5 linked regions of the Nothobranchius furzeri genome follow. The protein of the gene in region 3 interacts with the protein of the main gene of each other region in a pairwise test. Links are inferred from orthologs where the notes say so. Each region holds a gene or a part of one and is shown on either strand. Other genes may lie near its edges. The genes, in order: rhobtb3, prkab2, RNA-binding protein with multiple splicing, creb5b and fam168a.

Region 1 (5,140 bases), on a different chromosome or scaffold from region 3:
TAATGGCTTGCTTCACTGATAGTGACAGCTCTTTGGATCTCATCTGGACTGTTGACAGCAACAGATTCCAAATGCAAATGGCACACTTGAAATGAACTCTGGACCTTTTATCTGCTCATTGTAATTGGGATAATGAGGGAATAACACACACCTGGCCATGGAACTGTTGAGAAGCCAATTGTCCCATTACTTTTGGTCCCTTAAGTGGGAGGCACATATGCAAACTGTTGTAATTCCTACACCGTTCACCTGATTTGGATGTAAACACCTCAAATAAAAGCGGACAGTCTGCAGTTAAAGCACATCTTGTTCATTTCATTTGATATCCATTGTGGTGGTGTATAGAGCCAAAAATGTTAGCATTGTGTCGATGTCCCAATATCTATGGAGGTGTAGTGAATATATTTGCATTACGAAACAAATGAAGTAAAACAGAATAGTTCATCAGCAGCACGTTGATTCTAAAAGGTCTTTATTTAAAGTCCACTGCTACGTTATGTACAGACTGTACAGCTGGTGCACTTTTGTTTTACAGTCCAGAGTTCCACCTGCCTTTCAATAATAAATTTATATTTCTGAGGATTTAGTATTTTATTTTATACAAATGCATACCAAACATCCATATGGTCAAAATCTCAGTGATTTACTGAAGAGAAATGCACTGATTTCTGCTACATTTCTGCATAGATACTCCTAGAACTGGACACCATCTGGTACTGATGGTTACTGTACATTAATAATTTGTGAAACAAATAATTGGCTTCAAAAAGCCCAACAATATGACTAAGTTCAAACTGAGTAAATGGCAGAGAAACGCTGGACTGTAAAAAGGTGCGGCCATGTTTTTCAAGTACACATATTGTATAGTTTACAAAAATATTTGCAGCACCATAAATCATAATTTCATTTTTATTTAAAATAATCTACCAAAAACAATGGGTAAAAGAAATACTGTCTTATTAACCCAGAGGCAGCGAGGTTTGTACTGTAATTATGTTGTGATATGGAGTCTACATCATTTTCACTATCAAAGGCTTTCACTGTGTTGGTCCAAATAAGGACTCACTACAACCCTCCAAAGGACAAAGTATGAAGCTCAAGTTCAAAAAGGAAGTGTTTCAGTGATGTGAAAACCTATGTGCCCACACACAGATTCATTGTTTTTGCTTTTCTGTCACAAAGATTTCAGATTAGTAAACGAATGACAGTATCAACAGAACCTGAGTAAATACAACTTTTATCATCATTTTGTGTATTAAAAACAAGCATAGACCTAAATGGAAAAAATAATCTACATTTTGAATTAACCACATTAAGAAATCTGAGTCCAGTTTCACTCAGATTATTGCCTACTACTAATGTAATCAATTCCTCAAAACCTGTCTGACAACATGGAGTAGGCGAAATAAACACGGTGTTCCATTCTAAATTCATTAATGCAGAAAAACACCTAAACCAGCACCACCAGTCTTATTGATCATTGATAATTGTAATTCTGTTGTTTTCAAGCTTTAGTCTTTAATGTTTTATTGTAATTGTGTTCATTGTATGTTTTTTTTTTGTCTGAAGCACTTTGACTTGTCTGTGAAAAGTGCTGTATAAATCAACTTCTTCACTTGGTTAAGGTCAGAGGTCGGTATTCCTCAATAGCAAAAGGGTGTGTACACTCAACCATAAACTATGAATCCCTAACAGGCTTCTCCACCAGCTCCTCTTGTGGCATCCCAAAGCATTCCCAGGCGAGCCTACAGATATGATCCCTCCAGCGCGTCCTGAGTCGACCAGGACGCCTCCCACTGACGGGACATGCCTCCAACACCTCCCCAGTGAAGTGTCCAGGATGCTCTCTAAACTCATCACCATTACCAGTTCTGACCAACCAAGGGTGTTTATAAAAGTGTAGGTTTAGTTGGTTGGGATCAATTTATCTGCTAAATAAATAAAAACTCAATTTTAAAACTGTTTCTGTATTTACTCAGGTTTTCTGATATCTAATAAGCTAAACATTGGTATGGACAGATGTGTATTCACAGAACGGTCTTGATTTTCTATCCGAATTTGTTTGCACTTTATTTTTTATATAAAATAGATGTCGTTTTTTTCTCTGAAAAATGGTATTTGAATCTAATTATAATCAAAATATAATAAATTTATTCTGTCAAGATAAATCAATTTGGCTGCAAAACAATTACTTGTGATGCATCATAAATGTGAAAGATCTACTAAGAGAGCTGTAATTAAATTGGTCCTGCTCAGAAGCTGATCGGGTTTCTGATATTTTACAGATGAAAATGAGTAACGACTGCTTTAGCAGCCAGTGCTGGGCTGTAGATCTGATCTGAGAAGTCCAGACTCCAGAGATGTTTCAAATCATTACGTCCAACAACACATGGATGCTACTGTGGGTTTAATTATTGCTGCAGCCGGTGTGTGTGCAGCTTAGACCACCGTTGTCAGGGTGGGGGTAGAAACAATTTACACATAATGCTGGTTTGAATATCTGGTATTTTTAATCCTTATGGAATAATTTAGCACATTTGATTATTATTTAGCATCTTGTAGAAATATAATCTATCACAGAGCCTCTGCCTTGTGGCCAGATGGTCATTTTAAAATCCTAGTTTGTATTGCCCAAGATGAAGTTGTCCTGATGCAAAGAGTCATTCCTCTAGAGGTGGAGGTGTGGTTCGTCTGAGCTTTCTGCTCACATTTTGACAACTATCCTCTCTCTCTCCTCTTGTATTCCCTTTTGTGCCCCACCCTCTTCCACAGAGTTTAGGCCTCCAGATGTGGTCACATGACTAAGCAGCGAGACTTTCGTAGATTGCGCCGCCGCTGCTGATACTCGCTGAGCTCCTGCAGGTATCCTCTGGACGGCCAGCGTAGCCTCTCCACCTGCTCACGCTCCTCCTCTGAACACACAGACATAGACATTCCTAGCCATCACCAACTGCAGACAACCCTGTGATGCTTTGCTGATGAGAAAGTTTGTCCATGCCTGATGCATGCTTTCAGATCCACACAAGTATTAAACGCTTAGCTTGCTGCCCTGAGGACAACCACAGTCACTGAAACATCAACGAACATTTTTACATTAAGACGCATCAACAAGCTTGTGCCCACCAGAACCAGAACCTGCCATAAATGAGTCTTTATATGCATGACAATAAAATGCTTCTGCTACAGTGTTGCTGTTCATCTCTCTTCATAAGCAAATGCGTAGAGATACTTGTAAAGACCCTTGAGGGGCATAAACTTTAAAATAAAGGTTTTATTAGATGATAGCATAAAAACAGGTGAGTGCTACCTGGAGGATCAAGTTTGAATGTGAACTTTCATTAGAAGCAGCAACTCTTTAATTCACAGCTAACTTTATCTCTGTGGTTACATTTCATTTATTTTACTTCTGCTTTGTTGAGAAATGTGAATGTTGTGCCTGGTTTCTTTTCTGAGCATGAAAACAGTGTGTTATTGTAAGCTTCACTATAATTCTAAATATTCACTTGATCTCACTGACCTGAGAGCTCCAGGAAGTCGGGTTTATGACTAAAGATCAGGTAGTTGTTGGCGATGAAGTGGAGGAGCCAGATGTACAACTGCTCTGCGTTATGGCACTGAGAATGAAGGGAAACGGAAGGAAAAGATGACTGAATATTATCATTGAATCAATTAGCATACAAGCTGGCTTCTCTCCACACACACGTAGCACTGACCTTTGCCCTGCGGAGCAGTCTGACCACGCTGATTCCTGTTGATGCCAGCTCTCTACTGGGCATGCTCTGAAGGTAAGCACACACACACACCTCGCACAGGTGCTGTAGTCGTTTCACCTGATACATCTCTGCACAAACCAGTACAGCCATGGCCTGCAGCACACTGGCTGGACACACACACACACACAGTGAAACCCTTTATACACATTCTGTTCAATAACATGATGCACATTTATTTTGTTACCAAAGGCATACTATTTCTGCCTTGGAGAACTGGGTGGATTATATTGGAAAAGTAATTATTAGTGTTCATCTACAGCTCATCCAACTGGAGTCGGCCTGGTTAAAGATGGCTGCCACATCTAATCGGTGTTAGCAGACACAAACTTGGCTTTTAACTCTGTTGTCTTTACAGATACTGAGCTGCAATTTTACATATGTATGAACTTTGAATGCTACATAAAGGCTGCAGCTAAGATTTAAACCTGCAATCTTTCAACTAAGCCACTTGTTGATGTTGGTAGCCATGTTCACTAAAATGATCTCAAATTGAAATGGTACCAAAACATCTGGAACGTAAAAGTTGAGGCTTCAAAAACTGTCCAACCATTACCCCAATAAGACCTCAAATGTGTCAGGTGTCAACACCTACACAGTTCTTACCTTTTTTCTTGGAAATGGATCTATAATTAGTTATTTGATGCTTAAAAAGCACCATCATTGTGCAAGTGAGCAGGCAGGACTTTGAGACTTCCAAAGTGAACCGACTGCACCCGTAGGTGGTTTTTATCAGATGTGCTTTTGTAGGTTGTAGGTCACGTCTCTCTTGGAAAAAGAGAATTTTCATGTCATGTTGACCAAACCGATAAATAGAAGTTAAATACCTTTTTTAAACCTGGGATTTGTGGCTTTACTTTTTGACAACAGAAAGGAAAGATGCTTGGTTTAAGTTATTAATGTGTCCTAAAAATGATAAATGATACACACTTGTTTTGGAGTCAGAAGACTGCAAAACAGATATTAGAACATGGTTACTGAAAAACAATGGGGTTGGTATCAGCTTTGGTGTGTTCTTGCTGTGTTGTTTCAAATTCCATCTTTCAGTTCTTTTTAAAACACAGAAAAGGTTTATTTACCTGCGAAACGTTGCAGGTAAATAAACCTTTTCTGTGTTTTAAAAAGAACTGAAAGATGGAATTTGAAACTCAACACAGCAAGAACACACCAAAGATGTTTAAAGAAAAATACGGACAACAAGGAACGAAGGACTTCCGCCGTTTGGGATGATTGCATCAAAAACGCGCACGTCTTTGGAACCACCTTCACTTCAATTTAAGATGCCGGGACGAAAACATTACACCAACAAGCCTACAGCTGAAAACACCGATCCGGACCAAGACAGCACAGAACATAATGGAAAGAGCACA
Region 2 (6,231 bases), on a different chromosome or scaffold from region 3:
CATCGGACGGAAGGCTGTATGGTTTTTTTAGAGCTGCCTGCCAGTAGTGTTTTAATCAGTTGTGGTGTGCATGCTTCTTTTATTATCCTAAAGTTGCACATAACACACTCTCTACTTTTACACTTTGTCCCAAACAATAGATGACACACACACACACACACACACACACACTTCTGAGGCTACATAATAGTAAAAAAACACAACATTATATATTTAGTTTCAATGTTTTCCAGGTAATGACTGTGACAGGAAAAGTTTGTCTTAACGGAAAACTATTTTCTGTGTGGAAAATAGTCACCTGCCACATTTGTGTCAGAATGAGAAAATCAACACTGTCTGAGTTTGCACACGTCTAAACACTGGAGACAGGATTTTACACTTTTTAGTTTTAAAACGACTTGTTTTACAGGACTGCAAATGTTCAGGTGGTAGCTGCTGGTTTTAAAAACAACACATTTTTCTAACGGTGGAACAATGCCTGTGTGTGTGTGTGTGTGTGTGTGTGTGTGTGTGTGTGTGTGTGTGTGTGTGTGTGTGTGTGTGTGTGTGTGTGTGTGTGTGTGTGTGTGTGTGGGTGTGTGTGTGTGTGTGTGTGTGTGCGCACGCACACGTGTGGGTGTGTGGGTGCGTGTGTGTGTGCAAAGACATGCATGTTGTGCAATGTGAAAATAACTCACCCCATATTCTTTGTGATCATTTAATTGTGCCTTACAGCCTCTTGATGCAAATCTCTGCGATGAGTTTTTTAGCTGCATATACTGTTTTAATGTACTGTACGTTTTCAGTTAAGCTTATTTATTGGACTGACTGATTAAAAACTGTTATAACAGGTCCGACTGAAAATACCTGCAAAGACCACATTCTTGTCACGTGTCTCTTCTTTGAAACAGATGATTTAAAATGGGATTTTTACTATTTAAAGAGGACAGTGAGTGGTTTCTCTTTACATTTCTGATCAGCAGTTTGAATGAGACCCAAGCTGTTTTTATTCAGAGTTAATATTATTTATGTTTTCTGAAATCTGATGTAGACAAATGACTTTATATGCATGTTTGAAATCACTAATGTCTTTAATAATAAGCATGGATTTGTTGAGTTGAGAAGTTGCTGTTGTTAAGTTAACTGCGGGAGAAAAAGGTGAGGAGTCGAACGAAGCAAAACTAGTTATTAATGTGTTTACAGAAAGGAAACCCAATAGAAACGTAGGCAGCTAATTTTGCATTTGGAGGTTCTGGTGACTTCTTGCTTATAAGTGGTAATTTCTGTTTTTTTACAGTGACTGTTCATTGGTGTAACAGGTTTTCTACTTGTCTCATGGATAAATAAAAAAACTCAAGATATTCTGATATTTTACCTTATTATCTGCATGAGCGCTTAATGAAATTTAACTTAAGTATAGCTTAATGAATTGCAACTTGAGGAGGAGACCAATTTAATGCTGTTTTTTTTTTTTTTTTTAGTATTTATTCTTATGGAGAGTGTCAAACATTGGTTGTAAGAATAAAAGGTCTGCAAAGTTTTTAAGCCAAAAATCAACACTGCCTGGTCTTTTTTGTCCCTTCTTTGTTCTCATCGGTATGGACCTTATTTGCACGATGTTTGCTCCATGTGATCAGCTCAAACTAAACAATCAGCTGGCTTACCCTCCACCATTTTCACCTGAAATAATCAATGGAAATAGTGCATAATTTCTGTTTTTATTTCTCAGGATCTTGAAAAATTTTAGTGTTATGATACTGAGATGTTAAAATAGTTATTAATGTTAACTAAAGTTTAAAAGTGCCCATTTAAAGCAACAAAGCATTAAATTAATATAATCAGCTTATAACATCTGAAAAATGTCTTGGGCAACGCAATGTATTTTGTTAAATATTCTAAAGCATTGGCGCTACTAGTTAAAATAAAGCTACTTTTAAACTTCATTGTGAATAATGTGATTTTTTTTTCAGAATGGAATTTGTTTACTTTGTTTCTTGCCTCCAAACGTAAACTACATTGATTCTAATACTTCAATTTCTATTTTTCCTCTGTGTGCGTTCTATAATTTTTTCATACAACAATGAAAAAGTTTAATTTTCGTTGAAAGAGGAAAACAAACGTATTTATTTAGATATTACAAAGGTAACAACCCCTCAAATGTAACTGACGTCACGTCTCTTCCCGTTCCTGATTGGCTAAAATCACTTTTTGGCCTCTGCGCTCGCCGTACTCGGAGCCCCGCTGTGCTGCTGTTGTGAAAAGTGGAGGACGCGGACAGGTCTTCGGTTTGAAGACAAACTGCTGTCCTGAGGAGCGGCAGCTGGTGCTTGTGAGTGTCTCCTTTGTAGCTACACGGGAAACCAAAAGCGTTTCTATTTAGCTGCATAATTTGTGTCGTTAGCAGTCATTATTAAAGCAGACAAGTCGTTTTTGTTTGTTTGTTAGTAGTGGCTGCTGGTAGCTAGCTAAGTTGAACTGCGAGCAGCATCTAAAAATATTCACCCTGGCTGAGCTGAGGTGGACAGGAACAGCCTGACGTCCAGCGGGCAGTGGTGGGTTACGTTGACTTTATGATACGGCACATGTGGTTTCACCTGTTGCTCATGAAGCTAGAAAAGCTTTTTAAAGCCGTTAAGCCTTTGGGCTAAACCACACAGCTCACCGTTGTCATACGCAGCAGTGATGCACGCACAGTTCCAGTCATTTTAACACATCAGTTACTGTGTTTTTGCAGCAGTAACACTGGACTGTGGACAGCTGTTTGCTGTCATCACGTTCTGATACAAACTGGGTCTCTTCATGACACCTTGATCTCCTGATTGTGATCCTGTTGTCTGTTTAGATGTCTTCAGCAATGGTTTGGGTCAGCTGATCAGGCATGGGACTTGGGTTAGTGGTCAAATACAAATATTTAACATTTTTATCTAATATGGGATTTTAAATAGACTTCTAATTGGACTGATTTATATATTTGTAAAGTGTAAAATCATAAACTAAAACTTTTTTGTGTCTTTGTAGTATCTTGATTCACATGTGTTGTGTTAACAACAGCGTTATACATTTGCAGGGTCTCTAGTGTAATGTAAGGTGCAGTTCTGGGAAACATTGGTGGAGTTTCTTTGCTGGCTGGTTCTAGTCTATTTACTGTATTACAATTTTATCTTGCAAATTAAAACGAGAAATTTAAAAGCCATTTATTTACCTCAAATAAATGGTAAATGGCCTGTATTTGATATAGCGCCTTCTAGAGCCCTGGAACCCCCCAAGGCGCTTTACAACACAACCAGTCATTCACCCATTCACACACACATTCACACACTGGTGGGGATGAGCTACGATGTAGCCACAGCTGCCCTGGGGCGCACTGACAGTAACAGACAAATAACTTCTTTTTAAGTTCCCTTGACAAAAGGCAAATTTCTTACTAACAAAATTTTAGTTGCATTTTAAGCTGTGGTTGTTAGTGTCTAAACGGCTGGAGTTTTGTAAAATTGGATGTTCATAGCAAAACAATTCTCCTGACCTTGCAGTGGGAAGTCAGGCTGTGAGGCATCATGGGAAACACCAGTGACAGAGTATCTGCTGATCGCCATGGAGCGAAGGCCCAACGCTCCGACAGCAGTGGGAGTCACAAGGACCAAGAGACCAGCAGCAAGTTGGTGGACAGCACAGATGACCCTAACATCTTCAATACCCATGGACCTGAGTCAAAGGTAACCCTCCGGCAATTCCGACTAGGGTGCAGAATCGTTTCTTTGCTCTGTGTGATCAGTTTTCTGAATATCTATTGATGTTGCACGTTTGCTGCTTCTAGACATCAGGAGAAAAAGAATTCACCCCAGATCTCGACGACTTGGTTAAAACTGGTCCTCAGGCTCGACCCACTGTAATCCGCTGGGCTGGAGGGGGAAAAGAAGTCTACATAGCCGGTTCTTTCAATAACTGGAGCACAAAGATTCCACTAAATAAAAGGTAAACAAATTATTTTGTAATTCTATCTCACTAGGAGCTAGCTCAGGGGTGGACAACACTGGCCCTTCAGGGCCACTATCCAGCATGTTTTAGCTATTTCTCTGCTCCAACTCACTTTGTTTAATGGTTGTGTCACCTGCTCAGTGGCTTATTTAGCTTGTTAATCACCTGCTGATCAAAATCTGTAGTGTTGAAGCAGGGAAACGACTAAAACATGCTGGATGGCAGCTCTCGAGGACCGGGGTTTTCCCCCTCTGAGCAAGCTGCAGGAGTAGAGATCACTTAAATGTTTTTATTCAGTTTAGATTATCTGGTGTTGCACTTAAACTCTTTTCTTTTTGAAGTCACAATGACTTTGTAGCCATTCTGGACCTGCCTGAAGGAGAGCACCAGTACAAGTTTTTTGTAGATGGACAGTGGCTCCATGATCCATCCGAGGTACAGCAGACCCACCTTTGCTCTGCTTGTTTTTCTTATCATTCACCATATTCTCAGTGCCTCCTAAATTAGTCTAAATGTCTCAGAACAGTCAGTGTGTTTACATGCACATCAGAAAACCAAACTGTTGCCCTAAGTAGACTGACGTGATTTTTTAAAATCACGTAAACATGTTCGTCTTGCTGAAGGTGAACTGGTTGTTATCGTAACCAGATAATGCGGTAGAACACAACTGCATCTGCATGTAAACGGCTCCGCCAAGCTGATACTGGTAACTGCTGAATGTGACGAGTCTGCAGAAGTGGTCTTCTGACATTATCACCACAAAGTAACAAGAACCAGCCGTCTGGACTTTGCGCAGCTGAACCGAAGTAGTAACTGGATCTCTTTGACTTTGACACCGCTCGTCTTTGGAGATTAACGGATGCTCCGCTTATTCTGACGAGCAACGTTAACAGAAACACAAACTAATGACATTAGCAGCTGCCCGCTCCAATTGCACAAAAACGTTTTGTGAAATTATTGTAACAAGACTGTTACCGCGGGTTACAACAGAACTACGCACCACACCGGCGTTATCACTTTCATACACATTTATTTCACAGGACTGATCTGCAGCACAGTTCATCCCACTGCTGCCTCCGCTCGGTCGGTCGGTTATTCCCCAGCCGGCTCCTTGTTCCTGCAGCCGTGCATAATTATATAATAATATACATACGTCATTAGATGGCTATAACTTGTTTGTGTCTGCACATGTGGAGCAGATATTTTGTTGTTTTATCCCATCATGAGACTTTGTCTGCCACGATGTGGGCTGTTTATCCACTAGAATTGCCTGTTACCACAGCCTTCAGCCTATTTTATCCGCTGGAAACCTGTAAAATGTAACTTTACTGTCTTTCTTTCATCTATTTGTGCAGCCTAGAGCTCTACATGTGTTAACCATGCTGATAGATTTTATTTTGCTGTTGTTTAGCTCTGTTTATTGACAACTGACAGCTAAACACAACAGGGGTCAACATGGATGTGCTGGCTTCTTGCTTTCTAGCCAGAAGCTGGGTGGGGGGTGGGGGGGGGGCGCGCACGTGACGTCACACTTCAATATCATTGCCCCTGATCGTCGTACCCCTGATTAGTCATCAAGACAAACCTGAAGAATTTGGGTGTTGTTTTTGACCAATCAATGTTTCTTGATGGCCACTCAAAAACATTGGTCCGAAACTGTTTGATCACATAAATATCTCCAAACTGCGAAGGTTGGTGTCAAAACATGAACTTGAAATGATTCTCCATGCCTTTATCTCCTCCTGTCTAGATTACTGTAACACACTCTTCACATGTTTTAACAAAAAAGCCCTTGACGGCCTTCAGTTGGTCTAGAACTCTGCAGCGAGGCTCCCAACTGGAGCAAACAGAAGAGCACACATCACTCCTATTCTAATGTCTCTGCACTGGTTACCCGTTAACTTTAGAGTTCATTTTAGAATCGTGACTATAACTCTCAGGGCTCTACATGGTCAAGCTCCTCCCTATATTACTGAACTGTTAAAGCCTTATGCTCCAACCCGAGCCCTCAGGTCCACACACCAGAACCTTCTAGAAGTTCCAAAGACCAGATATAAAAGTTAGGTGATTACTCCTTCCAGACTGTTGCACCCTGACTTTGGAGTGATTTTCCTTTATCCTTATGCAGCATTGACAGTCTGGACACTTTTAAAAAAACAGCTAAAGACCCTTTTATTTAAAGCTGCTTTTACCTAAATCTTTTATTTTCTTATTTTTAACTCAAATTTGTAATCTTCTTCCATTTATTTTACTTAATTTTTTCTGATGTTAATCTAT
Region 3 (5,963 bases):
TAAAAGTCTAGAAGAAATTTTTAAATTGGCCTAAATCTTGATCAAAAACAATGAACTCAGCATCTCCGAGCGTCTGCTCTTTGTCTGAATGCGTCTCCTTCCTGATAGGACAAAAAGGCCTGGAAGTCTCACTGTTAGTAAATATACTCCATGTCATTGTTTTCTTAGCTAAACTGAATAAAATTATAATTTCTTACTTAAGCCCTATTCATATCAGTTTATTCCAAACCTACAGAGGGTCCACTCCAAATTCCTTTATCCAAACAAGGTCTGGAAACTGGCCCTGGCTACAACATATCTTTGACATTCACCATGCAGGCGACCATATTTCACCTCAGCTCCATCGTCGGCTGAGTGCTGCACTACGTAAAGCATCCAGAACACCTGATAATAATTCTTATCAAAGCGACTCTTTAGATTAGGAGCGCGGGGGCCGAAACCTGCATACCTCGCCCTGCAACAAGCCCATGTTTGGTTGAGCGCCGGTCCGCGAAAGATAAACACTAAGCATCATCGAGCTTTGGAGGTTGAGCAATGAAGTAGGCATGAGGAGCCAAGCTTGCAACAGTGCTTTACTGGTGCGAATCAGTGATCCATTGACTTGAGAGTGTGTAGAAGTGGGGGTTGGGGGGGGGGGGGGGGGAGCATGTGAGAGTCACACCAGCAAGGCTGTTAAACTTTAGCTCTTATAAGGTTACAGTTTACAGTTGCTATGGTGTTGTTAAACTTACAGCGGTTAGGTATTTGGTGTATTTGATGGAGCGTAGGGAAGATTTTAAAAGGCTGAGACAGTCCAACTCCCCATCATAAACTCGTCCTGCTATTATACCAAGCACCGTGTGCGTCTGTGCAAAACCTACCTGAAGCATGTCCACAAGAGAGCCTGTCAAAAGCACAAACTCCCCCGAAAGCCTCACTGATCTCCCACTAACACCACATGCTGTTTCCACGAAGACAAAGTGCCGCGGTCTAACCTTATGTTAATTCATCCGAGGAAATGTAAGTGTCTACTGTCCTGGATGAGTTCCAAACATTTCTAAGACATTAGATTCCTCTGGCCATTACTCCCCCCTGTTTGTGCGCTGGCTACAGACGGCTCCCGTCTGGTCCTTCGGCTCGTGGACATGATAGAAATTCAAACGTGCGCCACGGGCGAGCTGAGAGGTTTAACTGCCCAACAACACAAGGCTGCAAACAAACCAATCGCTAAATAACTGACATTTGCTGATTAGTGTTTGATGTATTCCACCTATGAAAACGAGACCTTCCAGAATAAAATCCAAGGTCAAACTGTTTCCAAAGTTTGACTGATTACAAAAATGTGAAATATTTATTACGCTGAATAAAAAGGAGGGCCAGTTTATATCTTTTTGCAGGTTTTTGGCTATTTTTACACTGATATGAATTCCAGTATTGATGGGAGATCTACAACAGCTGTATGTTAATGAACCCTCAGTGCTTGTTGATCTCAGTGACAGTGGAAGCAATAATGTGTGGAGAGTTGTGATTCAAGAATAAAGACACAAGTATCTCATTGTGATACAGCTCTTGAGGACCAAACTGCATTTAAAAGTTTCCAAAACCTCTCACCATATTTCCAAGGACTTCCTCGAGTGTTGTCGCTGAACTTGTGTTTTCAGATAAATTTCCTCACCGAAAACATTCCGAATCACTGTGGTCTTCAAAAAACTGTCCAGAACTTTTCTAAATTGAATTTCCGTGAGTCAGAAAGGAAGAAAAATGAGAGACAGCTTTTGAAATGGTTGATGATGAAATCAACATATCAAATGAGGGAAAACTGGCCAACAAAATGGGACACAGTTAGGACACTGTTACCAAATCATAACGAGAAAATTTGAATGGCTGTTGCAGTTTTTTTTTGCCTCATATTCCCTAAAAGACCCTCCTCATTAAGGTGGGACTAGTCCCTGTCAGCAGAGAGACACTGACTAAAGACGTGTGTAGACGATGCGTATTTATCGCAGAGGATACCCTTAAACCTTCTCAGCGGCCTAGTGGTATGAGTGTCCACCCTGGGACTGGGGGATCGGGGTTCACATCCCGGTTGGATTGGGAGATTAAACCATACAATAGTTCCAGAGCGCAGACACTGCTGCTGGGATGGGTCAAATGCAGAGATGCAATTACACCAGTGAGTGGTGACTAATGGGACTGGAACTTTAATGTAACATTTGACAATGAAATGTTGTAAGATGAAGATAGAGATCAAATGTACTATTTATGTCACATAGGACTGAAATTTTTGATTTTTGCTTTCAGAATTGAGGTTTACTCCATTTGTATAGCACTTCCTCTTGGTCAGATCAAACAAAACACCCACAGATGTTGTTTTCTTTTAGTTTATGAACTTCTAAAATGGTAATTTTGATTGCATAGACCCACAGTGCATCCATAGAAACCTCGGCCACGAACCAAATATGGTATTAAGTCAGTCCGTTTGGCGATTCAGTTACATTGCACCGACACTAATCAGATTACTCCAAAAGAGAAATATCTGATACACCTCCTCTACGTCTCCATCTCTCCTCTGAGGAGATGTGGAGCTCAGAAAAGGGCCAAAGCAAATAAACCCCAAACACAGACATCCACAACAAGAGATATCACTGAACCAGATTGTGCAATGTTTACAGAAACTGGGCCATTCTCTTATCCATTTAGGAGGGGAGAGAGAGAAACACAATTATATCACGTGTTTTCAGACAAACAGCATCAATCTGGTGTGTTTAGATTAAATTAAGCCCCGGTTATGAAAGGAGATATTCTCCTCTGTGAGCCTGGGATACTTAAGAGCTCTTGCCAACATGTTGCAGCGGCAGATGTTTGAACTTCAGCGGCTTGGCTGAAAACTCTACCTCGGATCACAAACGCTCTGACTTTTGTCTGGCTTTACTGGTGCAGGAACTTCAAAGATGTTCACAACAAAAAGTTGATAGCGGGAAACCTGGTGAGCTGTGGTGGAGGAAACTTAGATAGAAGCTGAATAAGTTTGGTTTCTTCTCGTTTTTCTCTTGAAAACAGATATTTTAGGAATTCGGCGGCTAAAATAGTCACACGAACCCCCCTGACGCCCCTTGTAGCGCGGCGGAGGCAGCAGGTAGGATACATACCTCCTCTTCGTGGTTGGTGAATTCACTCGGCTCGTTCTCTTTCTCGATTTTGTTGTTATTCATTCTGAGTCTTTGACACTTTCACTTCTTCTCTGGTCTCTGCTCTTCTCCAAAACCCACGAATGATGACAAAAGCAGCTCCCCGAGACAGTCAGAGGGAGTCCGGCTGTCCTTCTCTCACCGCACTCTACCAGTACGCATCAATAACGGCTGATCTTCTTCTGGTTCTTCTTCTTCTTTGTTGGTATCAAAAGCGGTAAAAACAGGAGTCAGCTGTGAGCGGTGTTCCTCTCCTGTCGGGTATTCCTCAGCATTCCCTGGAAAGCTTTACCGGAGGCGCTTGTTGTTGCTGTTCCCCCTCCTGAAACGGAGTTAATGCTCCTTGTACGTGCGCCGGAGGCGAACTTCTCCTCCTCTCTTCATCTCCGAGTCCGTAACGTCCGCGCGCGCGCCGCGGAGGGAGGGGTCTGGGTGGGATGCAGCGTTTACCCTCCACCGGAAAATCTGCATCCATCATCTAGAAAACCAGCTCAGATGTTATTTTAGTCCCTGAAACATTCCTGCAACGTTTTCCTCACGCGCTGCTTCGTGTTGTCACGCTGTAAGAACACATTTGTTTATTAAATACGCAAAAAATGTGATTTTGTGGTTTTATGCGTTTAAATACCTAAAAGACCCGGTCATTTCAAATGACTTTTGCTTAAACTTTTACTGTTTGTTTTTAATTATTTTTATTCAACCATTTAGTTTTATTTTTGTTTAACTGATCTTTTTCATATTTTTACTATACTTTATTCTTTTTTTTTTGTCTTGATTCTTGGGTGATTTTCCTTGTGAATTACTCTGTGACATTTTTCTGTGGTTGCTATAAATAACCTTTCGCTCACTCACTCACTCACTCACTCACTCACTCGCGTTATAACTAATTATTTTTTATGGTTCAATATTTTTATGACACACAAAGGTTAAAGTCTAATTCAGTAGGTAGAGTGGGTTATCCAGTATTCAGAGGGTTGCAGGTTCGATCCCAGCTCCCACCAGAGAATGCTGCTGTTGTGTCCTTGGGCAAGACACTTAACCCACCTTGCCTGCTGCTGGTGATCGGAGGGACTGGTGATGCCTGTGTACAGCAGCCTCGCCCCTGTCAGTGCACCCCAGGGCAGCTGTGGCTACATTGTAGCTCATCCCCACCAGTGTGGGGACATATCTCTCACATCTGACGAATACACGCTCGACTATCTCCTCAACTGCACACCTTTCACAAAGTCCATCTAAAGCAAACTCAAAGCTGGTGTGTGTGTGTGTTTTCTATAGGTCAGGATGGCCTTAACCAACACCTCCAGGCTCATCTCATTGATTGACTCCTTTATCTACCTGCAAGGTGAATGGTTACATGATGTGTTCAATAAGAACATGGGAACTTATTTGTGTGGTTTTAGTTTAAGCAGATTATCTGTTGTTGTGACTGAGATACTTTTACATACTTTATCTTGCAAATGTAAATGTGAGACGAGTCTTTGTGATCTTTTTGTTTAGTGGGGGTTCTGGCCTTGAAGTTATTCCATGGTGCCATTTATGTAGTTTCTTTCTTATTGCAGAGTCATGCCGTGCTTTAGATGTTGTTCTAGGTTATTTTGTTCTGGAACTCCTTTAGAACGGGACGCGATGTGTTGCTTTTTGAGATTTTAGCCTTCTTCGTGTAGCAAACAGGTTCTGCTCAAGTGATTTCTGTGTGTTGCTAGGGGTTGTATAAATCACAGTTTATTCATGATTTAACGAGCAGGGGAACTAATTTTCCACAATGGGACAGATTGTTTTGGACCCTTTTTTCTGTCAGTGATGAAAAAAATGTAATTACTCAGACTTTCCTTGTCTGAAAATTAAATGTATTTGCAGATTCAAAAAGTTTCAATGTTAAAATAAGCAAAGAACAGAAACAAGGACAGTTAAAGAGCAAGTCATCCCCAAATCAAATTTATTTTTTTTTTTGCTGATAAACTATATTGTCCAACCATGCTATAGACACGTGTAGTCAATACTTTGGCACTTTAGTGAATCTTAGTTCAAATTTAAATATTCTGCTTAAAACTGTCAGTGTTGTGCCCTCTTCAGGTAAAAACTCTGCACTGCATTTGAATTTAAAACTGCCATCGCTATTGGCTAAGAAGGTACCCTATGACTTTAGCTGGTACATTATGATGTCACAATGTCATTGTGAGCCTGAGTGTGTGCATTTGTTAGCGGCTCCGCCATCCTGGTCTGCCAGGCGACAGCGTCTGTTGAATTTTTCAAATCAGAAGTGGGAGTGGAGTAAGACTCTGGTAGGGGGTGACTTGCTCTTTAACTCATTCGCTGCCAGCCGTTTCCTGATCGCTAACGGCCTTCGCTGCCAGTGTTTCTCGCCGTTTTTACTGTTTTTTTAAGAGACACAGAACGTTGCGCGCTAGGATGATGTCAATGCCAAAACAACCAAAACAAAGAGGAGACTCACCTCTTTCATCAGGAAGAATCCGCGTGTTTCGAGCGTTATCCATTCTTTCATAATCCGTTGTCGAGTTGTGATCGGCAGACGCTTTTCCGGTTCGCGCCTCACTTTTTTTTACAGGAACGGCCCAAAACGATCTCCTAACACATGGATGTTCTGCTTCCTGATCATGTGACGTGTGACATATACGGATGAATATCGGCCTCAGGGCTGAGATGTTTGTTTTCTCATTGTGGGAGCTCGTTCCGATGCTCAAACAGTAAAAACAAAATGCAAATGATGACTTTAGTCGTCATTGGCAGTGAATGAGTTAGGACTGATATTATATTAAGTGCAGTTTGTTTAATTAA
Region 4 (6,227 bases), on a different chromosome or scaffold from region 3:
AGCGTTACACACAAACAGCCTTTCCTGGTCTGAGTTCATCCCTCTGGCCAGAGTCTCATAAAACTAGAGAAAACATAAAAAAGAAAATATGAACTGTTGTTTCCTTGAAACAGTAACTTTGAAAAAGCTTGAAAAAGTATATTTCAAATGCATTTTTACATAAAATATACGAAGTTTTGCTAAAGCATAACATGTATTCTCAATAGATTGTATAAGAACAAATATACAGTAAGAAGTACTAATCCTGTTTCGTTTAGCTAATTTAAATTAAGTCATAAATGTTTTCTCAAGAATGAACACGCTGCTCTGCACTGATCTACAATCACCAGCGAAGATGCAAATTTCTGATGCATCAAACCAGCGAAATGATTAAAGGTTTTGCTGATTTAGTTGCTAGAGTTGTGTTGAGGAACGTTCTGTAAGGTAAGCAGTGGACAGTTAGTTAAGAGTTAAATTCATTTTCAATATATAAACACAACTTTTAATCCAAATGTCCTTACAGCTCTAAACACATTTAGCTTGGTTCTTAGATCCTCTTAGATAGAAAACATACCCGACCCCAACCCTGTTCACCAGAAAAGTGTCTCGTAGCACACGTTAATCGACTCTTCAGGTCATGCATGAAACCTGAGTCAGACACGAGAACAGGAACGATGTTTTCTGAATGGATTTGAACTAATAATGTAAAACAAGCAAAGTCATGTGAAGCTGTCATCAGAACCCCTCCAGCTGGAGAGCCACCCGGTAATCTCTGCATGTCTGGCAGCATAAAGGCTGTTCACGTTTTTACTCAACTTTTGCTGTTTCACATTCCAAACACTGACAAAGAAAGAATTTTGTGTTATTAGTCCTCTTGATGTAAATATCACAATTTTCTCGTTCTGTCTTTTTCTCTTTAGCAAATGAAGTTGGGATGTTTAAACAACGTTGAGATGAAAAAGTGTTTTATAATAATGAAAATATTCTGTTACTATTTTTCAATATCTTCGTATTTTGTGTCACCAAATGAGGGCAGGAGGTCACCTCATCTGTGGCGTGTTCAGTCTGAAACTCTCAGTGTGTGTTCCCATCAGGATGAATGGAACAGCTACGGAGTTACTGCAGGATATAATTCTCATTTATTACACACTTTAAATACAGCTAATCACTTTTCTAATCCTAACCATAAGCTGACAAGAACTGTGCTGCATCTGTCATTTATCCAGTGCCACATCTGAAACGCTCTTTGAGAACACTTTCATGCACCAGGTTCATAAAATTCTCTTTTTCATGCGTGCAGACTGTTTCCTCAAGAGAAGTCAAAACACCCTAATATTGTGTTATGCTAGGCTGTGGTGTTTTCCTAACAGGCTGTGCTTCATAGGCAAGCCTGTGGAACGGGGTCTGGACAGGGTCTCTCTGTCAGAGACCACGGAGACCAGTTCCCTCGCTCTTCTGCAGGGACCCCAACAACTCACCTGGTCACCTTTGACACAACAAACATCAGCAACAAACTAAACAGAGTGACTTGTGCGGCACCCCGGTTATTCGTGTGTTTCTGCCACATTTGCATCACGGATACGTAATTTTCAGCTGTTTCTTTTGGCTGCATCTAAGTCATTTCCACAATGATCACCAATAATAAAAAATACACGTTTCTTTCCTTTTTCTGTTTGTAATATTGGGGTTGATCATTTCAGCCCAATTACCACGACATTCGAACCACATGATGCAGAAAACTCCACCATTCATCCCGTAGATGCCTCTGTGAATGGTTCCTTTGCTTTTGCACTTCACACTACCTGATGCTTGATGCCCCTTTCCTGGAAATGGGGCACTTGGTTCATTTTAGGTGTCGATGTTTTAGTTTAGTAGAGGAAATGTGGTTACACCTCACATTAACTATAAACCGGTGTAAGTGAGGTGCATGGGGGGGTTAGTCCAGCCTTCGATTTCCAGAGGAAGGAATTCTCCAGACATTGTGTTTGAAGTCAAACGGCGGGAGTCAGGTGCAAAAAGGTACGTGGGGTTAAAACGAGCACAAACGTGCAGAGCAAAACGTACCTTCCGATAACCTCGGCTTGTGACAGCACAAGTTCAATTTCTGAGGCAGTGAGCGTGGTCCAGATGACAACTGTGCTCTTGAGCTACATGTCTGCGAGAAGACTGGAGAAGTTTAGTACTGTAAAGCGGGGTATGGGCAAGAAAATGAGTCCTGCAATAAAAACTTAGGGCATGAAACAAGAGACTGCTGTCGTTTGACTCCTTCACCAGCACTACCCTAAGCACATGAAACCGAGTCTGGGTCACATTTCACTGCTGCAATCAGCCACTGAGCTGCACTCAGCTTGATAAAATATGGAAAGAATCTGCTTCAAGGTTACTAATTAAAACCAGTTACCCAGGGAGATCCACCAGACTTGACATTTTGGGTTTTTCTTTGATTTTTCATCATTCATTTAATTAGAATTGTGATTAAAATTTTAATCTGATTTATATATATTTTAATCAGGACATTTTGCAACTTTGGCTGAATCTTGCAAGGTTTGGTTGTTGAAAAAACGAGTTTTATTTCTACATCTGGTGCCTTGTTTACCAGAGGGTTTATTAACGGCATCGGTAAATAATTTTAAAGGTAGCGGAAATGTAATCCATCTATTTTCGTCATTCGGTCTGTCTGCTGTTACCGGAAGTCTGGGCAATAATTAAAGGGTGGGTGAAAGAAAAGTGGTTATTGACAGTGCTGCCACATAAACATAATGAAAGCAATTAAATAATTGAAGTTCTTTCTTTCTCGTCAGCACCTTCCTGAAACCTCAGCATCTGATCGGCCTACATCCCACAGAATGACGTCATGTTGCTCTTGTTGCTTTTAACGTTAAAAAAGCAGATCTGATGGAAACAGAAGCCGTGGAGCGGTGCGGCTCCGCGTATCCCCAAACGGGACAGGCGCACCGGTGATGCGCAGACCCGCAAGCTGGGAGGAAACGCTGAGGAGGTGCAGAAACTAATGTGCGGCGTGCAGAAAATCCTCCTTTTTGCGGATGTCGGAAGATGAATTCCTGCGGACCTGACAGGCAGACAGACCGAGCTGCGGCACTTGACTCCGCGTTCAACTTCAGCAACAATCAGCAGCAAACGCTCTCTCTCTCACACACACACACACACTCTCTCTCTCTCACACACACACACACACACACACACACACACGCGCGCGCGCACACCATGACAATGCACTCACTTAACACGAAACTCACACCAGACTTTCAATCGCGAGCTTAACATTGTTGCAGGGATAAGAAAAGCAAAATAATATTTTTTCCAAAAGCGCTGAAGCGAACAAATCAAGCTGTTTCATGGAGGAGGAAAGAAGAGAGAGAGAGAGGAGAAAAACGCTTTTAACGAAGTCAACCAACCTGCAGAGGCTCGTGCACGAGGGTCTGCATGGTGGCAAGGTTTCCAACTTACCAAGTGCAGAAAATATGAAGCAGTCCCTCAGAAGAAACCACGTTGGACTGAGAAAAGATTACAATACGATCTATTTAGAGAACCATAACGTCACCCCTGGGTGACGTCACGTGGGATTCCTGAACTTCTAAATCATTGCGGTCCACTGGTAGGCGGCGCGAGCGGGGCGGGGCTTGTGAGTGCACGCCCAGGAGCATGGACGGATGGATGGACGGAGACCGCTGGTCCTGAAGTGGGTGCGGTGCAACAAAGCCCCGCAGGCAAATCAGCACGGTGGCGCTGTCCCATAAACTCAGCTGCATTAGTTAAATTAGCTGGAGAACCATCAACCAAAATAACAAATAAAATTCATTATAAATGACTAGACGGCTCTGCTGAAATATTACATCAGTCGGCTGGAACAAAATCTAAATAATTCCCCAGTGAGAAGTGTGATTAATATAACCAAGTCACAGACTCACAGGTGCTAACTGAAATGGTCACACATAAATGAAGAAACATCGAAACTAAATCAACGAAGACCTGCATTTCTTCTGATCTTTATAAGCAGTCCACAAACTGGAAAGACCACATTCATCATTAACATTTTGAAATTAAATTAAGCTCTGCTTCCAAAACGCGGTAGTTCAGCGTTAGTGCTGCATCTGTAGCTGAGAGATTTAAGCCGGAGTCAGATCCTCCTGTCTGAGGGCTCGGTGTGTCCTGCTGCTGGTGCCAACCGGCTGTGATTTCTTCAGCCACAGACACCGGTAGCAGCGAAGCCATCCTCAAACCCACAGGGATTAATGACTCCTCGCACATTGAGAAATGTTTACCACTGGCCTGCGACCACTGCACCAGACACACTAAGAGCTCTGTCACTGAAACAATAACGCAGTCTGGAAAGCCCTCATAACTCAGAGCTTCTCCGCCTCTGTCTTTTAACCAGAGCTTTAATCAACGTTTATGACATCCTTTTGTCTCTTTATTGCCAATATATTTCCCAACCAATCCAAACATTATGCCTCCAGAAGAACAGACTATCAGGCTGGAGAGAGCCGATACAGTTGGAGGTCAGTGGCCCACACTAAAGAGAGATGTGATCTATATTATACTAAACCTTTTATGATTATGTCTTTGTGGAAAGCTTTTGGGTAAAACCACCTTGGGATGAAAAGATCATGTGATGATATTTTGTGGCCGCAGGCGCGTTCACGAGGCAAAAAGATACAAGTACAACTAAAACATTACTAATTATTTACAAAACCTGTGTGCAAATGGGGAAAAAGTCAGATAGATTCATTGAGAAATACAACCTGGCCAAGCTGATGTGTTCCACTCAGGCCTCAGACTGACTGCTTCCTAGAGCAGAGGTGGAGCGGGGGCCGAGCTTTCAGCTAGCAGGCTCCAGCTTCCATCAGTAATGCTAAATGGCCTGTATTTGATATAGTGCCTTCTAGAGTCCTGGACCCCCCAAGGCGCTTTACAACACAACCAGTCATTCACCCATTCACACCCTGGTGGGGATGAGCTACAATGTGGCCACAGCTGCTCTGACTGGGGCGCACTGACAGAGGCGCCAACGGTCCATCCGACCACCACCACCACCAGGCAAGGTGGGTTTAGTGTCTTGCCCAAGGGCACAACGTACTGAGCAGGGTTCGAACCTGCAACCTTCTGAATACGAGGTGAGCACTTAACTCCCGTGCCACCATCGCATCAGTGAGCCGCACAAGGCTGAACGGTTTAGTTTCCTTTTAGAGAAATCTCAGTCGAAGGTGGTGTGGATGTCGTTTAAAAAAACCTTTCAAGCAAAATGAATGATGAAAAATAACAATCCAAAGGTCCGACTTTCCTCGAGCCCTGCCCGGGTCTGTGGCAGGAAAAGTGGGATCATGTTTGTCCTTCACAGACCCGGTGAACTCTCACATCCTGCTCTTCAGCTCTGACGACCAGCAGCTCCCGGATCTCTGCATCGCTCCAGTCGTCTCCGCGGATACTGTCTCCCCTCCGTCTTGTTGCCTTGGCTCACATTTGATAAGTAATCATGACATCACCATCTGTTGCACAAAGACGTGATCACCATACATAAGTCCGGTGTTGCAGGAATATTATCGAGCTTGGCGGCACAATTGGCGCAATATTCTCGCCTCGCCATGCCGCCATGGCGCATTCAAAAGACACGCTGTAGCGGCAGTTTTACCCTGAAACGTCGCCACTGTGTGTCTTTTAAAACCAACTGGATATTGTCTACATCAAAACATAGAGCTATCTCATGTTTTTATCCATTGTTGGCTCCTTTTCTGTCCTAACATGACGTATCTGGGTAACCATACAACAATTTAATGTGCTATAGGTGAGATGAGGTGTTTTTATGATGAGAAACATGGCAGGTTTCAGCTTTCTTGGTTTACTCGTAACTTCAGAGTCCGAGCCGACCTCGAACGTCAAACAGCTCACCGCACACCCAGCCAGCTGACGTGCTGCTTGCATACAAGTTAGTCACCTTAAGGTTTCCCAACAAGAACAGAACCAGACTCTAAATAGAACATGTAAAATCACTCATCCAATGAAAGTTGCTAACTCAAACAGAATGGAACATTCATCCATTAGGAAGGTTTTAATTCCTGTTTAAAAAATCTGAACCGAGAAAGCGTGATTCATGTACATAACAGAGTTTGTGCAGAGGGGGGAGGGACAGTCAGATGGCTTTTTGATGAATGGATCAGGATCTTAGCTTTGGTAATCCTGACTCATCCCTTTAGTTATGCTGCTGCAGGCTTAGACACTGGAGGAACATG
Region 5 (6,309 bases), on a different chromosome or scaffold from region 3:
ACCATAAATATATTTGAGAACATTTAAATAAACTATGTGTCTTGTAGTTAATTCATCTTGAGCTTTCCTGTGGATTTTATACAGCTCAAACACAACTTATGAACTTCCAATTAACAATACACACATTTTTTGCCATACTTATTGTTTTTATTAGATAGGTCATCTAACCCTCCATCGATGACCTAAGGCGGGCGTGGGGAACCCTGGTCCTCGAGGGCTGGCATCCTGCATGTCTTTGCTCCAGCACTTCTGATTCAGTGGTTGATTCACCTGTTCTGCAGCTCATCAGCTCTCTAGAAGCCTGTTAATCACCTGCTGATTGAAATCAGGTGTGATGACGCAGGGTTGAAACTAACATATGCTGGATAGCAACCCTCGATGGACCAGGGTTCCCCAACCCTGATCTAAGAGATTTAATAACGCACAGTTTGAATGAATCGTCACCTTTTATTTACTTACATCATTAGTGTAGAAATTTAATTAGCTGGATCTACCAGTATAAATAAAAGATATCTAATCGAATGATACAGATCTGGACAAGATAAACCGGAAGTTAGCCGAACTCTTCAGCTGCCATTTGTTTAATTCACTTGTTTGTTGCAAGCTAATCGTTATGCTATTTGAAGTGCTGAAAAGACTGTCGTCTGTAAGAGAACCATTTTCTGTCGAAACATTTTATGGCTCCAGCTTTCAATGGTCTGACGGTTTTACAGCTGCCTTGTAGACTCCATTATTCACACACAGGAGACACCCCCCACAGTATAACCAGGCAGAGGTCACCTTAGGCTGATGACGCAATCCAACGAGGACCTGTAATCATTTGAACTCTTTGAAGAGAGATGCATTCGCTTTAGCTTAGACTCGCTTTTTACTGCATCTTTAGAATAAAAAATATTTATCCTAGTTCATAACTGCCAATATCAAATTTCAGTGTGAAGATCCCAGAAAGGATGTGTTGTTGATTTTAATATACTCTCATTTGTCTAAAATTATTTTCTTTATAAAAATTAACTAGAAGATGACATTGTTTGTATTTTATGAAAATAAAGTGTTTCTAATAAATAATTGAGGAGCACATCAGACTCCCTTTCATCACCGACAACAAGCGAAGAGGTAGAAGAAAACAGAATCTAAAATGGCGTCATCAAGAGACTTAAGCCTAATTTATTCTTCCCGGTCTGAGTCGGGATGGACGCACACAACGCCATTATCTGTCCTTTCGAGGGCTCTCCAGGAGGCTTGCAAGGACGGAGTCGAGTTCTCTTTTCTAAACATTTGTCCAACGAAACGGAGAACGCAAGCCTGTGATTGGTCAGGATGCCACTGTCGTTGACAGTGCCGCCATCGCGCCCTAAAAAACATTAAGAAAACCAAAAATATTTAGTGGCAGACACAGAGAAGCTTGAAGAATGCCTCACGGAAAAATTCTAAAAATATGAACGTTTTATTCACCCATGACTGGGGGAGTGAAAAGATACGCAGCTAGCTTTTATCCGTGGACGGAAATGATGGGAAATGTGGGTTTAGAGGTGGTGAGCACATTAAGAGGTGGAGGAGGATGAGAGATAAATTTGTCCATGTTACAAAGTCTCTGAAATACAAAAAACACAATATAAACAGAATAGTAAATGCTCTATGTTGGACCAGATACATGACAGGATACCACAGAACAGCGCTGTGCCCTCTGTTGTCCTGGCGAGGAGTTGCTTTGCAACACTCCCCAGGAGATGGAGAAGTCCGAGAGCAAAACGTCTCTGTGAGTGCATGTGTCTCCCTCGTGGAGCTGACGGAGGAATATAAATTAAGCTTTAAGTCTGGTTTATATTTCTCTGTCAGCTCTGTAAAGGGAGACACACATGCATTGACAGAGACGTTTTGCTCTCTCACTTCGTCTCCTGGGGAGTGTTGCAAAGCAACTCCTCGCAAGACAACAGAGGGCATAGCGCTGTTCTGTGGCATCATGCCACCATTACACTCATATATCCGGTCCATGATGGTGTATTTACTAATGTGTTTTTATACTTCAGAGACTTTATAACACAGGCGAATTTGTCCTTCATCCTCCTCCACATCTCAAGTGGTCGCCACCTCTAAACCCACGTTCCCCATCGTTTCTGTCCATTAATAAAACATCTGCTCCACATTTCAGTCACGGGTGAATACGCGTTCATATTTTTGGATTTTTTCCCATGATGAGTTCTTCAATCTGTTCCGTGTCTGCCGCTAAATATCTTTTTACCTTTGACGGGACAATGGCGGAGCTGTTGACACATTTAAAGGAAGCGGTGTCCTGACTAATCACAAGCTAGCATTCTCCGTCACTTTTGACAGATATTTAAAAATTTGGGCATGTCTCTGTCACCCTCTGTGAGACTGTCGAGCCCTTGCACCGACTCATAATAGCGTTACGTGTCTCCTCACCTGCGCAGATGGAGAAGAATGAATGAGGCTTTAGACCTTACCAATGGATGGCCATTTGGGGTAAAAAATCCCTGGGAGTGCAACCTCCAACAAAATGACAGGCACACCAGACTTCTTTCATCACTGGCAACGAGTGAAGAGGTAAATGTGTAAAACAATGTTAATGAATGAATAAAGTTTTGTAACTGTTACATATCAGTGAATGTATTATGTCCTCACTGGCTCCCATAAAAAGAAACATGGCATCTAATATGGTGTCACCCAGAGACTAAGACTTCCATGTATTTTAAGGTTATACGTTATGAAGTTGCCAATGTTTTTCTACAACTGGGCATCATTTTATTCGTTTTCAACAACATTTCGATGGATATTTGCAGAGATTACCGGTAAATACTACACATTGTCTCTTTAAGTACTACTGAGAAAAAACACCATCCCCTACAGTTTAACAATATAAACAGTAAGATTATCACGTCTTTCAAAAGACACAAGTCCTACCTGTGACTATTAGTTTTGGGATTCACAATTAAAAAAGTTAAAATATAAAAACAATCCAGTGATGCATTTTGTAAACACGTAATTACATCCAGATAAAGCAGTGTGCTGGGATGTGCGTCATGCTTCTTTCCTGTTGAACCTGACAGCATTAAAGCCAAGAGAGACAAATAAAACCCACCCAAAACACATCTTCTTTACGCCTAATAACGCAGTCTGCAGCCTTGAGGACACGGTTTACTTTGTTGTTGCTGAGTATTTACATGATATTATATCGAAGCATGGCATGCGCTGCATAACAGAGATAGCAACTGGAGCCAAAACAGCACTGGTTGGACAAAAATGGTCACACTCAAACAAGCTTAAGACACCATTTTGAAAATCCACCGATTTCTGGATAACAACTCCGAGATGCCATCTTGCCAATTAACACTAGATTGGCTGAATTTAGAGTGGCTGTTATAGCACACCTTAGCAGGAACCCGTGTCATATAAAACTACCATTAGCTTAGCCTTTGGAAGCTCGGCTGAAAAGACAACCGCTAACCCACCGCCGCATCCCTGCGTCCATCCGTACACGCTGCTCAAATCGATAATTAGCATTCTAGCCGGGGAAACGGATTAGAAAAGACAATTAACACTAACCATGGTTGAGTTTGACCGGGCGGCACGTGAAAAGCCAGGGTCGATGTTAACGACTGACCGTAAATAACTTAAAACACTCCCGATGCGCCAAGTTGTAGAATCCGCTAATTGAGCTAGCCGCTTAGCATAGCATAGCCCGCTAGTTCCTCACGGAGGACAATTGAAGGGAAAAAAACAGACAAAAAAACCGAACAACTTAAAAAGTAGAAACATGGACGTTCCTTCCGTCCGCAATAAAAAGCGTGTTAGACTCACCAAAACCACCCGGTCGAACAGAAAAAGACTCCCCCTGGTGTGTACGTGCACTCTCCCGTGGTTCTGCTCAGCTTCGGCTTGGTGCGGACTGGCTCTGCTACAGCAGCGTTTTGTCGGGCCAGAGGCGGCTGGGAAGACAGCTTTCAACCGGAGAGACGGCCACCGTGTGGGGGATGGGGGATGCACTGCCGCCGGGAGGGAGAGAAGGAGGGAGGGATGCAGGGATGCAAGCAGAGGTGGGGGCATGACCCACCGATACATGTAAAGTGGAAGGTGTCTAATAATAGAAAGGAAATAGATTTGTATTATTCACAATTACAATTTGAACAGCAGTTCTTTGTTTTATGGGAATGGCATCCGGATATATCCATCCTTTAATCATTCCTATAGAATAGGTTGGTTTACTGATGAAAAATGATCAAGATAAAGACTTTATGATTCCTTTTTAAAAAAATCACATTAATTTATTATTATTATTATTATTACATATTCAGATCACGTTGACTGTAGATCAGTATGTATTCATATTTCAGACCAGAAGAATCGTGTTATTTTGTCATAAACTGCGCGTGGTGGTTAAATTAAACTGCAGGATATGTGGAAGTTCATGTTCACCAATACAGATTTTTTTTCTTCTGTTTTATTCACTCTTCATTTCGGTCCCATGCTTTATCCGTTGCTTTCTCCACAGTGAAACAGCACCACCAAGTGGCCATGAATGCACCAGCATGCACCACTTGATGGTTATGATGCATTTAAGGGTAATAGTGAACTCGGAAGATCCAGCATGGGAATTTAGGATTTCTTTAGGCATTTTTGTTAAATATATACCTACACTTATATATAATCTTAGTACTGATTTATTATTTTATTTACTCTAATAATTTTCGTTGAGAAAGTTCAAACCAGAAAATGTAAATTATGAATTTTATAACAGTGATGGTTAAGACCTCCTGTGACCCTTCATCCTCACATAAAGTCGTTTTATTCAAGGACACTTGCTTTTATTTAAATTATTTTTATTTAGTTTTATATAAACTTAAAATATTGTAAAAACTGTCTTTATTTTAGCCTATGTTTATGAGGTCCCAACTAATCCCCAAAAATGCATTATTGCCGTATACACAGGTGCAATTACTTATGCAATTATTATAGATTAGTTAAAAGTGCAAAAAGTCTAGGTGTTTCAGTTAGCTAGCCCATTTTGAGTCTGCAGAATGGTTTTAGCATCATTTCTCTAAAAAATACAAAAGAAAAGATGTCTGACATCGCTTGGATGCTGACCTAGGTCGGACTTCACTATAGGCTAATGTTTCAACCGTATATATGTCGATGGTTTAGGTTTTATCATACGCTCTCATAAAAAGAGAACTACAGTTCCCAGGCGCCTTTGCGCTCCCGTCCCTCAAGCTGCACACTAGCATACAGCTAGACCGTTGTAGCTATGACAAGTGTGTTATAATTGTCGCTTGAACAAAATAAGTTTCAATTTAAATTATGTAAGAAGCCAAAGACCTGACAAGAAAAAACCCAAAACAAAAAGCTGCGCGAGTTATCGCGTTATTTTACGTTTCCGGAGGTTAGAACGAAACGTGACAGGAGCTATCCGAGGTGCTGAACCCGTGAGTATCTCTTCTCGTTCCACATTGCTTTGTTGAATAGTTTCAAGTGTATTACAGTCTCATATTTGAGATATGAAAACACGACATAAGTGTAACAAATTTAACTTGAGCCGCAAGTGAGCTAAACACCCATATATTGGTTTTAGGGTTAAAATAGAGACAAGAGTAAATGATAGGGCTGCTGAAGTAATTTGTTCTTAGCGTGCACACACTGTTTATTTTAGTTATTAGAATAGATTATTGTTTATTTTTAGTGGTTTTTTTATTGCAAATACAAAACATATTTATTTGTTTTGTGCAACCATAATCATAATCGTTATTGTTATTATTATTTTAGGTTTTGGCAATATGGATGAGTATCCAGAGTCACTTGCCAGTTTGACTACCTCCCACAACCCCAGCAGCTCCAGCCCTCCCAGAGGTCAAACTGTTAGTGCACCACAGGACAACGGGCTCCCAGAGAGACGGACACTGCTTCGTGTGTCAGAGACCCATGGACTGCAGCTTCTGTGTGTGCTCAGGTCCTTCAGAGAACGAGGCTTGTTGTTTGATTTCATCATCAGGGTACAGGAACAAAGTTTCCCCTGTCATCGCTGTGTTCTTGCAGCATGCAGTGATTTCTTTAGGTAGCCTGCCTACCTGTCTTTCTGCCTGTCTGTCTGTCTGTCTGTCTATACAGTCTAATTCATGTAATTGCTGTGCTTAGGGCCATGTTTGAGGTAGATATGCGAGAGTGTGGTGATGGATCAGTAACTCTGCATCAGTGTCCAGTGGCTGTGGCTTCTTTCCTGGACTTTGCCTACTCTGGAGAGACTCTCATCAATGATGGGAATGTGGACATGCTGTTTCAGATTTCCTCTTTTCTGCAGGT

Evidence for each region.
Region 1: the proteins of RNA-binding protein with multiple splicing (region 3) and rhobtb3 interact in binary tests that used the Homo sapiens proteins (3 or more experiments, as listed by UniProt). The two-hybrid records come from large-scale screens. The link is inferred for Nothobranchius furzeri from reciprocal best matches to the Homo sapiens genes RBPMS and RHOBTB3.
Region 2: the proteins of RNA-binding protein with multiple splicing (region 3) and prkab2 interact in binary tests that used the Homo sapiens proteins (3 or more experiments, as listed by UniProt). The link is inferred for Nothobranchius furzeri from reciprocal best matches to the Homo sapiens genes RBPMS and PRKAB2.
Region 4: the proteins of RNA-binding protein with multiple splicing (region 3) and creb5b interact in binary tests that used the Homo sapiens proteins (3 or more experiments, as listed by UniProt). The two-hybrid records come from large-scale screens. The link is inferred for Nothobranchius furzeri from reciprocal best matches to the Homo sapiens genes RBPMS and CREB5.
Region 5: the proteins of RNA-binding protein with multiple splicing (region 3) and fam168a interact in binary tests that used the Homo sapiens proteins (3 or more experiments, as listed by UniProt). The two-hybrid records come from large-scale screens. The link is inferred for Nothobranchius furzeri from reciprocal best matches to the Homo sapiens genes RBPMS and FAM168A.

Annotation. Positions count from the first base shown.
Region 1 is NC_091743.1:55,654,303-55,659,442, reverse strand, and holds part of rhobtb3 (rho-related BTB domain-containing protein 3), read right to left. Parts: intron 3,881-5,140; coding exon 3,714-3,880; intron 3,615-3,713; coding exon 3,518-3,614; intron 3,186-3,517; exon of another isoform or gene 2,913-3,185; coding exon 2,794-2,912; 3' UTR 1-2,793. UniProt on the Homo sapiens protein: Rab9-regulated ATPase required for endosome to Golgi transport. Involved in transport vesicle docking at the Golgi complex, possibly by participating in release M6PRBP1/TIP47 from vesicles to permit their efficient docking and fusion at the Golgi.
Region 2 is NC_091751.1:56,441,152-56,447,382, forward strand, and holds the start of prkab2 (5'-AMP-activated protein kinase subunit beta-2), read left to right. Parts: upstream 1-2,189; 5' UTR 2,190-2,308; intron 2,309-2,368; exon of another isoform or gene 2,369-2,531; intron 2,532-3,509; 5' UTR 3,510-3,533; coding exon 3,534-3,692; intron 3,693-3,793; coding exon 3,794-3,951; intron 3,952-4,295; coding exon 4,296-4,389; intron 4,390-6,231. UniProt on the Homo sapiens protein: Non-catalytic subunit of AMP-activated protein kinase (AMPK), an energy sensor protein kinase that plays a key role in regulating cellular energy metabolism.
Region 3 is NC_091742.1:66,798,016-66,803,978, reverse strand, and holds the start of RNA-binding protein with multiple splicing, read right to left. Parts: upstream 3,649-5,963; 5' UTR 3,192-3,648; coding exon 3,129-3,191; intron 3,118-3,128; exon of another isoform or gene 1,591-3,117; intron 1-1,590.
Region 4 is NC_091745.1:35,736,451-35,742,677, reverse strand, and holds the start of creb5b (cyclic AMP-responsive element-binding protein 5), read right to left. Parts: upstream 3,547-6,227; 5' UTR 3,426-3,546; coding exon 3,396-3,425; intron 64-3,395; coding exon 1-63. UniProt on the Homo sapiens protein: Binds to the cAMP response element and activates transcription.
Region 5 is NC_091753.1:35,546,082-35,552,390, reverse strand, and holds the start of fam168a (protein FAM168A), read right to left. Parts: upstream 4,011-6,309; 5' UTR 3,817-4,010; intron 3,683-3,816; exon of another isoform or gene 3,562-3,682; intron 1-3,561. Other genes in the region: kbtbd3 (kelch repeat and BTB domain-containing protein 3), read left to right, coding at 5,787-6,064, 6,145-6,307.